Sus scrofa: one gene and its partners. The protein of the gene in region 1 interacts with the protein of each later gene in a pairwise test. Links are inferred from orthologs where the notes say so. Each region holds a gene or a part of one and is shown in the gene's direction. Other genes may lie near its edges.

Region 1 (4,024 bases):
TTTTTTTTTTGGTCTTTTTGCCTTTTCTAGGGCCGCTTCCATGGCATATGGAGGTTCCTAGGCTAGGGGTCGGGAATCGGAGCCGTGGCCACCGGCCTACACCAGGGCCACAGCAACGCAGGATCCGAGCCGCGTCTGCAACCTTCACCACAGCTCACGGCAACACCGGGACCTTAACCCACTGAGCAAGGCCAGGGATCGAACCCACAACTTCATGGTTCCAAGTCGGATTCGTTAACCACTGCGCCACAATGGGAACTCCAAGCAAATATGGTTTTGGTAAAAGTATCTGAGATGTATATATAGCAAAAAGTTATTAAATGCTATGCTCACTCTGTTTTTTAGAAAAAAGAGTGGATTCAACAGACAGAGTTTACTTTGTGAATCATAACACAAAAACAACCCAGTGGGAGGATCCCAGAACCCAAGGGTACGTATGTACTACAGCCTTTCTTAGGTTATCTTACACATGTCTGAAGATAGAATTGCATTAAAAACCTTGATTCAGATGTTTTTAGCACCTGTAAAATGTTCACCTTATGATTATTGCATTATCTTTTAGCTTACAGAATGAAGAACCCCTGCCAGAAGGCTGGGAAATTAGGTATACCCGGGAAGGGGTTAGGTACTTTGTTGACCATAATACAAGAACAACAACATTCAAAGATCCTCGCAATGGCAAGTCATCTGTGTAAGTGAAGCTCTTATGTGCTGTGTAATGAGGACATAGGTTTCACTTCTAATTTAGCCTCAAGTTTAGCAATAAATTTTATTTTGTGTATCAAGAAAATTTACACAAGTAATACTCTACTATGCCTGTCTTTGCTCTACCTTCTTATAGAATGATTTTGCGGCACATAATTCCTTAGTAAGAACGATAGTAAATATTTACCTAGTGATTACTGTGTGCCAAGGATTCTTCTAAACATTTAGTGTAAATTAGCTCATTTTATCTTCCAACAATTCCTTGAGGTAGATACTGTTATTTTCCAAGTTCAGAAACTGAGGCTTAGGGAGCACAGCTAACTTATGCAAAATTATAGGCAAGTAATGGAAGTGGTTTCAGACCAAAGCAGTCTGTCCGAAGAGTCTGTGCTCTTAACAGGTGCATCATGCTGTTGCAACATCACAGAATGAGATGTTCAAGAAAATTTAATTTTCCAGGTAAAAATAGCTCAATTAAGCATTTGAAAGATCTCTCCTTAACTCCCTTATTACTCTTAGTGTAATGTCCTTGTATCAGTAAGTATGTAGAAATAGCCATAAAAACTTTTTGCAATTCCTACCGTTGCATCTGTCCACCTATCAGTATCTCTCTTCCCTCTTCATCCTGAAGATGAACTATCATCGTTCTTATCAAAGTCCAGTCCTCCCTGTGCTGGTGCACTAGCTCTTCCCCCTCTTTTCCAGTTCACTGTTCCAACAGTGATCGTCTTTATATTCTCCATCTTTCTCTGCTGAATTATTCTCAGCAGCTGTTAATTTCCTTAAATTAAAAGCAAACAGGGAGTTCCCTTCATGCTCAGTGGTTAACGAACCCAACTAGGATCCATGAGGATGGAGGTTCGATCCCTGGCCTTACTCAGTGGGTTAAGGATCTGGCGTTGCTGTGAGCTGTGGTGTAAATCACAGACTTGGCTTGGATCCTGAGTTGCTGTGACAGTGGTGTAGGCCAGCAGCTGCAGCTACGATTCAACCCCTAACCTGGGAACCTCCATATGCTGCATGCATGGCCTAAAAAGCAAAAAAAAAAAAAAAAAAAAAAAAAAGACAGACAAGCAAAACACCATAATTCTTCACCTTATGAATTCATTCAGTGAAAATTCATTTTTATTGCTACACTTTACAAGAAAACTACCTGAAAGAGCCTCTGCCCACCTGGGATTTGAAGTTTTCTTTGAAATAGTCAGTAGTTGACTTTAGTATTTTATTTAACTCACTTTTTTTTTTACAAAAGATCTATCCATACACATGCCCTCCCTCTTCATTTTTATATGTTGTGTGTCCTCATTACTTGAATCTCTGTTGGCCCACTAAATATATCTTTACTTCTCTCCCAGCAAGTAACTTTCCTGTACTCATTTTTTGGACCCTGGTACACTCCAGTCACATACTGAATATTAAATATCCAGCTTTATTATGAATTATTATATAGTTTGTTTTTGTTTTTCTTTAGAACTAAAGGTGGCCCACAGATTGCTTATGAACGCAGCTTTAGGTGGAAACTTGCTCACTTCCGTTATTTGTGCCAGGTACTACGGTGGTAAATAAATCTTATGTTCATAATCATTTAGTTTTATCTTTACACAGTACATGCACTGTAACTTACATTACAATGTTATTTTTCTTTGTAGTCTAATGCACTACCCAGTCATGTAAAGATCAATGTGTCCCGGCAGACATTGTTCGAAGATTCCTTCCAACAGGTAAGAACGATTTTATCAGAATAAAATAGTACAGTTAGCCTCTGTATCTGCAGCTACCACATCCGTGGATTCAGCCAACTGTGGATAGAAACTATTCTGGGGTGGGGACAGACGGGACTCCAGAAAGTTTCTAAAGGCTAAATTTGAATTTGCTGCAGCCAGCAAATTCAGGCATACCTCATTTTCTTGCACTTTGCTTTTATGTCGCTTTTGCAGATAGTGTTTTTTACAGATTGAAAGTTGTGGCAACCTTGTATTGAGCAAGTCTCTTGGCACCGTTTTTCCAGCAGGATGTGCTCACTTGGTGTCCCTGTGTCACATTTTTGTGATTCTTGAATATTTCAGACTTCATTATTAAATTTATATATTGATCTGTGATCAGTAATCTTTGATGTATACTATTGCAAAAAGATTACAACTTTCTCAGATGATGGTTAGCATTTTTTTAAATAATAAAATATCTTTTAATAAAGGTATGTATGTCTTTTTAGACATAATGCTAAACTTAATAGACTACATAGACTTATTAAGACTGTCTAGACTATTAAGTCGAGACTTAATAGACTACAGTATGATATAAATATAACTTCTACTCACACTGGGAAACCACAAAATTCATGTAATTTGATTTATTGTGGTATTCTCTTTATTGTAGTGGTCTGGAACCAAACCTGTAATATCCCCAAGGTATCCCTATGTTTATGTAGTATTTATATTGCATTACTTATTATACATAATTGAGAAATAATTTAAAGTATATGGGAAGATAGGAGTTCCTGTCGTGATTCAGTGGTGGTTGCGGGTTCAATCCCTGGCCTTGCTCAGTGGATTAAGGATCCAGCGTTGCTGTGAGCTGTGGTGTAGGTCGCAGACGCAGCTCAGATCCCATGTTGCTGTGGCTCCGGTGTAGGCCGGTGGCTACAGCTCCAATTAGACCCCTAGCCTGGGAACCTCCATATGCCGCGGGAGCAGCCCTAGAAAAGGCAAAAAGACAAAAAAAAAAAAAAAAAAAAAAAGCGTATGGGAAGATGTACATAGCTTATATTACTTGACTGTCTTTGGATTTTAGTATCTGTGGGGGTGTCCTGGAACCAACCTACCTTGGATATTGAGGGAAGATGTACAACTTGTCTCATTGTATTCTGTATATCCAAAGGGAGTTTTAGAATTTAGAAATTTGAAACCACTCAGAACACAGCTCTATCAATGACTATCATTTACTGTGTGTTCATTATAGTAATAGTCATAATAAATCCTATCATGTGTTGAGTGACTGCCATATGCTCGGCACTGGCATCTTATTTTCTTTTATTTATCTATATAGTCTTTTTATGGTCGCACCCACGGCGTATAATGTTCCCAGGCTAGGGGTAGAATTGGAGCTACAGCTCCCGACCTATACCACAGCCATAGCAATGTGGGATCCGAGCTGTGTCTGTGACCTACACCAAAGCTCACAGCAACACCGGATCCTTAACCTACTGAGCAAGGTCAGGGATCTAACCCGCTTCCTCATGGATGCTGATCGGGTTTGTTACCCTGAGCCCCGATGGGAACTCTGGCACTGGCATCTTAGATATATCATTTCATTTAATACA
Region 2 (4,024 bases), on another chromosome or scaffold:
AATTCCTTGAGTGATATGCTTATGAGTTGTGTATGTAAATTGTGTGTGTGTGTGTGTGTAAATTTCAGCTCAAAGGAAAAAGAAAGCCAAACCAAAAAATGCTGTGTAAATCAGTAAGCAGTATGAGTTTTTTCCACTTGGCTTCCTAGTCAACTTGTATTAGAAGGAACTAAGGTTCTTCCTAAGTTGGAAGAATGCCATGAAATTTATCACTATGTTTAGAGGTTAAGAGTCTTAATTCAGTCAGAAAAAAAGAGTTTTTTTCTGTTAAGTAACTAAAACATTGTAGATGTTCAGTCATTCTTAAAGATTCCCGAAGAATTTTGCAGCTAGTGAAGTCAAAGGCACCTGTTTAATTTAACAAATATGAAAGAAGTGTGGCCTTTCCTTTTAGCCAACATAGAACTGCCAACTTCATCAGCTCAAGCCACAGAGCAAGTAAGAATGAACTTCTGCTCCCAAATTAGGGGTCTTATTAGCCAAAATCAGGTAGTACATATGTCCACAACCTGACTCAATGGAAACTTGGAAACATGACCCAAAGTTTGCAAAGCATCTCATTAAAAATATGTATGATGGAGTTCCCATCGTGATGCAGCGGCAAATCTGACTAGGAAGCATGAGATTGCAGGTTCCATCCCTGGCCTCGCTCAGTGGGTTAAGGATCTGGTGTTGCCGTGAGCTGTGGAGTAGATCATAGACTCGGCTTGGATCCTGAGTTGCTGTGGCTCTGGTGTAGGTTGGCAGCTATAGCTCCCATCAGACCCCTAGCCTGGGAACCTGCATATGCTGCCGGTGCGGCCCTGAAAAGACAAAAGACAAATATATATATACACATATATATATGTGTGTGTGTATATATATATATACACACACACACATATATATATATATTTGAAGTGATCTTATCATTTCAAATAAGACTTCTACACAATCTATGAACACAATGAAGATGCAAACTAAGAGATTTCTTTAAGCCTGCATGGTTTAGGACTACTGTTAACCAAAGAGATCTTGTGCTTTTTACAGGCACTTGGTAGAGTAAACTTCCTTGCCTTCTTGGAGTTAGGCGGAACCATATGATTTGCTTTGGAAATGAAATTGAGGTCGTGTGATGAGTGTCATTTCCAAGAGGAAGATTCAAGCTAGGGTGACTGGATTTAGCAACACAAGACACCCATTGAAATTTGAATTTCGAACAAACAGCCAATTGGTTTGTTTTTGTTTTTGTTTTTGTTTTTACTGTAAACATGTCTCATGCAATATTTGTGACATACTAATGCTAAGGAATGATCTGTTGTTTATTTATTTATTTATTTTTTCTCTTTTTGCTATTTCTTGGGCCGCTCCCGTGGCATATGGAGATTCCCAGGCTAGGGGTCAAATCAGAGCTGTAGCCACTGGCCTACGCCAGAGCCACAGCAACGCGGGATCCGAGCCGCGTCTGCAACCCACACCACAGCTCACGGCAACGCCAGATCGTTAACCCACTGAGCAAGGGCAGGGACCGAACCCTCAACGTCATGGTTCCTAGTCGGATTCGTTAACCACCGCGCCACGACGGGAACTCCTGTTGTTTATCTGAATTCAGATTTAACTGAGCTTTTGACCTAGCAGCCCTGCTTTAAGTACAGTTGTTCAGCTCATGTGCTTTCCATGTGTCTAGCATAGTCATCATCAGTCCTCAGAAAGTGGATGCCCTATTAAGGGAATGTGATGAGCAGAGCCCTCTGCTGACCTGCACTGGACATGTAGCATAGTCAAGAAATAGCCTTGGTTGGCTAAGCCACTGGAACTTGGGGGCTGGTTGTTGCCATAGCATACCCTAGAGTATCCTGACCGATGTAGACACTGCCCGACACTGAACCTTACCATATCTCATTCTGTAGTAATTGGTGCTCCATGGTGTGGCCTGTGTATTTTTACTTAATAATTAAGTTATTGTTCTTCCTTTTCCCTTTGAAGGTGGACTTAGGTGAAGGCAAGATTTGCTTCTGTTGTGAAGAATATCAACCAGCCAAATGCACAGACAAAGAAAATGCTTTGAAGCTCTTCCCAGTTCAGCCTTGTAGTGCTGTTCACCTTCTACTTAAGGTATCTGGAATGGACCTCACTCCTGCTCAATAAATACACCACAGAGACCCCAAAGAAGGCAGCACTCCCTGAAATAATTCCTCTTCAAATAATGCTGCTGAAAGCAGATAGGAGCAAACCCCTCATCAGTGATCCAGAGACAGAATTGAGAGCAGAAGGAACCAGGTTATTGTGTGTCTCTTAAATTATGATGGGATGGCTTCTTTGTGTTCAAGAATTATAAGCTAGTGAAAAATGTAAAGGAGCCTAAATATGTACATATGTATATGTGTGGGTATATAATATACATATTCAGACACACACACATACCCACCTACCCATCCATGATATAGCTACTCGTATATGATGTAGGTTCAGCAGAACCTGCAAAGTAGATGTCCACTGGTCATTGTTCCTATGCTCCTCTGTTGGCTTAAATGAGTCCTGTGGGCTGTCGAGTGCTGCCACGTAGACTAAGGAGATGCATTGGCCAGAAAATACATGAGAAATTCAAGACATTACCTCTCATTTAATAGGCAAAAGAGATTAAGAACAAATGATGCTAGCTCAAGAGATGTACAAAATTGACCTTTATTAGGGAATTGGATAAAAGCGGTGTCCTGACTTAAGCTCTGTTAGCTAAGTGAGTGACAGGATCAGTTGCTGAGATAATAGCATTTGGATGGTCCATCATTGATGGCTTTCTTTGATCTTTGTTCTGGGTTTCTATTTTGTGTGGAAGAAGAATCTCAGCAAAAGAGAGAGAAGCTCCCAACTCTTTGGGTCATGGAGGATATAAAAAAGACCTTCCTTCTTTGGCTTCTGGATTTTTGGCAGCTGAGTCACCCCCAGACTTTCTCTGAGCCAGAATTTGCTTGAGGAAAGCCCCACTAAGGAGCCTCGACTGTGGCAACAGAAACTTTTGGAATTGGCTTTGCTGCTATTTTGAGACATGTGTTTAGAGGAGAGAAGCCCTGTTTACACTCGGGCCGACCTGCCCCCTGTGTTGTCCTAGTTGGGTGCCTGGAGCAGCTCTGCCAGTGACTCCTGAAATAGAATCAGTGGCCACAAATTAAGCAGCTGTGCTGTCCTGGTGGGGGACCGTGGGTAGGAGGGCGGGGAGATTGGGAATCGGTATCACTGAGGACACTGACTTCAGAAGAGAAACAGCGCTTGCCTGGAAAAAGCGTTTCCAGACAGGATTCTGATGCTGGCAAAAAGAAATATGGTAACGTCAGGTCTGCCTGGCACGGAAAGCTTCTAAGATAAGTTCTGTTTTTAGTTGCAAAGATATTATCTTAAAAATGTAAGAGATTTCAATAGTACCGAAGATGTTTTTAAAATTAAGAAGTACACAGCATTGTGTGAGAGTGTTTTTCTTTTCCTTTTCTTCCTTTTTTTTTTTTTTTTTTTTTTTTTTTTGGCCATGCCTATAGCGTGTGGAATTTCCCAGGCCAGGGATAAAACCCATGCCACTGTAGCGATCCAAGCCACTGCAGTGGTAATGCCCAATCCCTAACCTGCTGCACCACAAGGAAACTCCAGTGAGAGCCTTAATAGTAATCAGCATTTGTTTGGCATGTAGCATGAGCCAAACATCATCTAAGGCCTTTACATACGTTTTCTCATGAGAATTGACTTAGTGGGACAGCACTCTTACTCTTTTTTAAAGTTTTAATGTTGCATTCTGGTCATCAGCTATGAGGTACTCAGGGGCATCATTGTTTCCTGGTTCCAGAAAGTGCTTTTCGCCCTGTGTGCCTTGAACGCCCTGACTACCACTGTCTGCTTGGTGGCAGCCGCCCTCCGCTACCTCCAGATCTTTGCAGCCAGAAGATCCTGCATCGTAAGTGCATGCAAGGGGGCCGTGCGAGACCATGTCTCCGCTGAGCCTGCCTGCGAACTTTTTTGTGTAACCCGTTGCTTTTTGCCCTGAGCCTTTGTAGGGAAG
Region 3 (4,024 bases), on another chromosome or scaffold:
GTTTCCATCATTTTTTAAGTTAAAAAAGGTGAATAAAGATAATTTAAGTGAGCAAATGAGATCCTTAAGCTATTTTTAAGATTTAAAAGTCAATCTCATTTACCACTGATGACACTCAAGTTTTTTAATTGTTTTAGGAATTAGAATTAGATGGATACTATTGATTATCTCATCCTCATTAGGAGTCCTAAGCAAAATTATTAACTTTAAATTAAAATGGGAACATTAAGTAATTTATAAGCATATTCGGGTAGACAGACAATTGTGAAATACAGGCTTTGTGGAAATTAAAATGGCAATCCTTCGAGAAAAGCTGCATGAAATCATGGTGGAACTAAGTGATCCTTAAATCCCCTTTCAGAGTAGGTGTTTTCTTTCTTTCTTTATTTGGCCGAACCTGGGACTTGTGGAAGTTCCTGGGCCAGGGATCCAACCCACACTACAGCAGCCACCCTAGCCCCTGCAGTGACAACACTGGATCCTTAACCTACTGCGCCACAAGGGAACTCCTCAAAGTAGTTTTAAAGCTGTGCATATTCAATTCATAATCTGGAGAGCTTTGTTCTTAATCTCTAAGAAGTATTTGAATTTGCCCCCTTCATTTTCTTTTGAGTTTTATCATTTGTTTTTGAATTCTTTAATTATCCCTATTGAACTACTTTGTATTTCATTTTGTCTGATGATGTCATGCAAGGGTGGATTTGAGCATCTGCCTAATTCCATATAATTGCACAGGGCCAGGAAAATAAATTTGATGTTGTAAACAAAATCTACTGACAGTTATCTATCCATAGAGGTTGTGTCTTTATGACTACCGAAAAGGCTAGTTTTCTTTTGAAAAGTGATGTAACTATGAGGCTAGCACAACTTTTCTTCTGTTCAGTTTAGTTCCAGTGAGCCCAGTGAGCAGCTGCTTATCAAGTGTTCACCCATAGTGTTTAGGAGCAGGTTAGGTGGCTTGGTTTGACAGTTTAAAACTTGAGTCTGATATGCTTTTTCTGGCATGATAGAATTGCTGCAGTATTAGGTTTTCTAAAAATATGCATATTTGTGTGTGTATATAGGTATTATTAAGTAGTTTTTAATTGAAAATTAGAGAAAACTGATTATCTTACATGGGATTTTTTTAGAGGATAAGATGGGTATGAGTCACAGAATTTGCTTGAAATTATACATGGATTTTGAACAACTTGTAAATTAAAATTTGGGGAATAATAATATCTTATAAACATGCCAAAGGTTATATTAGTGATTTCCTCATTTCATTGGAATGAACTACTACTGCTTACCCTAATCTAACATCCTACCAAGTAACTAATAACTAAGATGGCAAAAAGTTTACCTTTGCCTGTACAATATATGTAGTCACCTTGTTTGTTTGTTTTTTTGTTTGTTTGTTTGTTTGTTCGGTCTTTTTAGGGCTGCACCCGCAGCAGTATACAGAGGTTCCCAGGCTAGGGGTCGAATCAGAGCTGTAGATGCTGCCCTATACCACAGCTCACAGCAGTGCCAGATCCTTAACCCACAGAGTGAGGTGAGGGATGGAACCTGCATCCTCATGGATACCAGTCAGATTCGTTTTCGCTGAGCCACGACAGGAACTCCTGAAGTCCCAATTTTTAAAGTTGTCCAGCAGCTTTAGAAAATCCTGGGATTTTTAGTAATATTTTTCAACAGAAAAAGTTCTTAGTACTTTTTATTTGCCAGATATTCTTCTAGGGATTCAGTGGCAAACAAGATCTAAGATCTTGTCCCTCCTGAAATTTTATTAAACACACTTATTATCCTGTTGTAAGTTGGGACCCTGTACGTAGAAGATCTAAGCATAAGTGAAACTGAATTCCCACTCTTGATCGTATAGGACTGTGTTTTTTGCATTCAGCATTTTTTGTTCACATATACAGAGGGGGAGAGAGAGAGACATCAGAACAATTTATATATATTTTTGTATGACTCTGAGCAATAGTATATTGTAGGTATGTAAATACGTCATTTCTGGTCTAAGTTGCTGCTTTTGTTTCAACTGAAAGATAATGGCGTAAGGGAATTTTGCATAGACTTTCTCTTTGTAGGAAAGCTAGCATATTTGAATCTGAAAAAGTAACTGCTAGCCCTAAAGCACTTGTCAAAAGCAACTGTTTGAATTGTTTCATGATGTTATGGCTGATTTATAAAATCTTTTGAGTATGATTTAAGGTTTATTTTGATTTTTATAGGGAAATGGATACCGCACGAACGCCATTGAGTGAAGCTGAGTTTGAAGAAATCATGAATAGAAATAGGGCAATCTCAAGCAGCGCTATTTCAAGGGCTGTGTCTGATGCCAGTGCTGGTTTGTATAGTTCTTTCTGTATTAATGACTTGAAAACTTCTTTTATTCTTTTTAGGTCCGCACCTGCAACATGTGTAACTTCCAGGCTAGGGGTCAAATCAGAGCTGCAACTGCCAGCCTGCACCACAGCTTGTGGCAACACCAGATCCTTAACCCTCTAAGCAAGGCCCACAATTGAGCCCATATCCTCATGGATACTAGTCAGGTTCTTAACCCAGCGAGCCACAATAGGAATTACTTAAAACTCAAGTGCAGTCTTGAAGATGGGTTATCTACATGTGGTAGTAATTATTTTTATTTCCAGATCATTATCTGTACTTTTTTAAAAGGCATTGAAGAATTCAGCAGGTTAAGGACACAGCATTGTCTCTGTGAGGATGCTGGTTTGATCCCTGACCTCATTTAGTGAGTTAAGGGTCCAGCATTGCCATAACTGCGGCATGGGTCACAGATGTGACTGTGATCCAGTATTGCTGTGGTGTAGGCCATAGCTGCATCTCTGATTCAGCCCCAGCCCAGGAACTCCATATGCTTCAGATGCAGTCTGGAAAAAGGCATAGGAGGAAGCTTTATGTCACAGTAATGGAAAGGCCCTAATTTTAAATTTTTTAGGTATAGATTTAAATCTTAGCCTGACATTTAATGGTTCAGGGACCTTAAGGCAGCTCATTAATTCTCATGTTTGCTAAGTGATAACTTGTTTCACACAGCTACAATAGTAACAAATTGTATTAATTTCATGTGCATTAAAGCCTTTTCCAAATTTTGAAACACAAAAAATTTAGGTATCTTCTACAGTCTATTTGCAGCGGCATTACTTTTGTAAAATAATTAACCTCGAATAACTGTGTGGTATTTTGAAAATAATTTATTTGACTTCAACCTCTCTCCTTCTGCTTGCTTACAGGTGATTATGGGAGTGCTATTGAGACATTGGTAACTGCAATTTCTTTAATTAAACAGTCCAAAGTATCTGCTGATGATCGTTGCAAAGTACTTATTAGCTCTTTGCAAGATTGCCTTCATGGAATTGAATCCAAGTCTTATGGTTCTGGATCAAGGTAAAACTTTCCTGTCTCATGTCTGTTTAAAACTTCTACTTTCCAAGTAGAAGAAAATGTTGCGCTTGGGCCTTTATAGGCCTTAGATTTTACTTATTACTATTAACTTAGCAGCTAGAGTGATTTTGTTGTTGTTATTTAAGCTCTAAATCAAATGTCAAATGTTTGCTTGCTTAAAACCCTTCAAAGCCTTCCAGTTATTCTTAGAATAAGACTAAATATTGAAATGCTTTGTGATATAGTCCCTGCCTATCTTTTCAGCCTCATTGTATCCCTCTCCCCTTGCTCACTATTCTCTAGCCATATTGATTTCCTTTCTCTTCCTCTTGAACATTAAGCACTTGACCCACCTCACTGGTTTTGTACTTGGTATTTCTTCTGCTGAGATCCCTTTTCCCTGACTCTTCACATAGCTGTCTCCTTATCTTTCATGCTTCAGCTCAATTTAACTTGCTAGGTTGGGTCTTCTCCCACTTAATTCTGTCATGCTTTATTTCTTTTGTAATACTGTAATGTGCTCTTATTTATTACTAACGGACATTTCTTTTCACTGAACACATTTAAAGATGGAAGGGAGCTTACTGTCTTGGTCACTACAATATTTGTTTACCAAGTAAACAGTGCTTGGTAC

The links. The genes of interacting proteins can lie anywhere in the genome.
Region 2: the proteins of WWP1 (region 1) and FAM189A2 interact in binary tests that used the Homo sapiens proteins (3 or more experiments, as listed by UniProt). The link is inferred for Sus scrofa from reciprocal best matches to the Homo sapiens genes WWP1 and ENTREP1.
Region 3: the proteins of WWP1 (region 1) and CPSF6 interact in binary tests that used the Homo sapiens proteins (3 or more experiments, as listed by UniProt). The link is inferred for Sus scrofa from reciprocal best matches to the Homo sapiens genes WWP1 and CPSF6.

Annotation. Positions count from the first base shown.
Region 1 is NC_010446.5:50,415,024-50,419,047, reverse strand, and holds part of WWP1 (NEDD4-like E3 ubiquitin-protein ligase WWP1), read left to right. Parts: intron 1-345; coding exon 346-430; intron 431-562; coding exon 563-691; intron 692-2,176; coding exon 2,177-2,252; intron 2,253-2,354; coding exon 2,355-2,426; intron 2,427-4,024. UniProt on the Homo sapiens protein: E3 ubiquitin-protein ligase which accepts ubiquitin from an E2 ubiquitin-conjugating enzyme in the form of a thioester and then directly transfers the ubiquitin to targeted substrates.
Region 2 is NC_010443.5:222,703,255-222,707,278, forward strand, and holds part of FAM189A2 (protein FAM189A2), read left to right. Parts: intron 1-1,965; coding exon 1,966-2,094; intron 2,095-3,811; coding exon 3,812-3,919; intron 3,920-4,024. UniProt on the Homo sapiens protein: Functions as an activator of the E3 ubiquitin protein ligase ITCH in the ubiquitination of the CXCL12-activated CXCR4 receptor. Thereby, triggers CXCR4 endocytosis and desensitization, negatively regulating the CXCL12/CXCR4 signaling pathway.
Region 3 is NC_010447.5:33,542,434-33,546,457, forward strand, and holds part of CPSF6 (cleavage and polyadenylation specificity factor subunit 6), read left to right. Parts: intron 1-2,216; coding exon 2,217-2,332; intron 2,333-3,239; coding exon 3,240-3,393; intron 3,394-4,024. UniProt on the Homo sapiens protein: Component of the cleavage factor Im (CFIm) complex that functions as an activator of the pre-mRNA 3'-end cleavage and polyadenylation processing required for the maturation of pre-mRNA into functional mRNAs.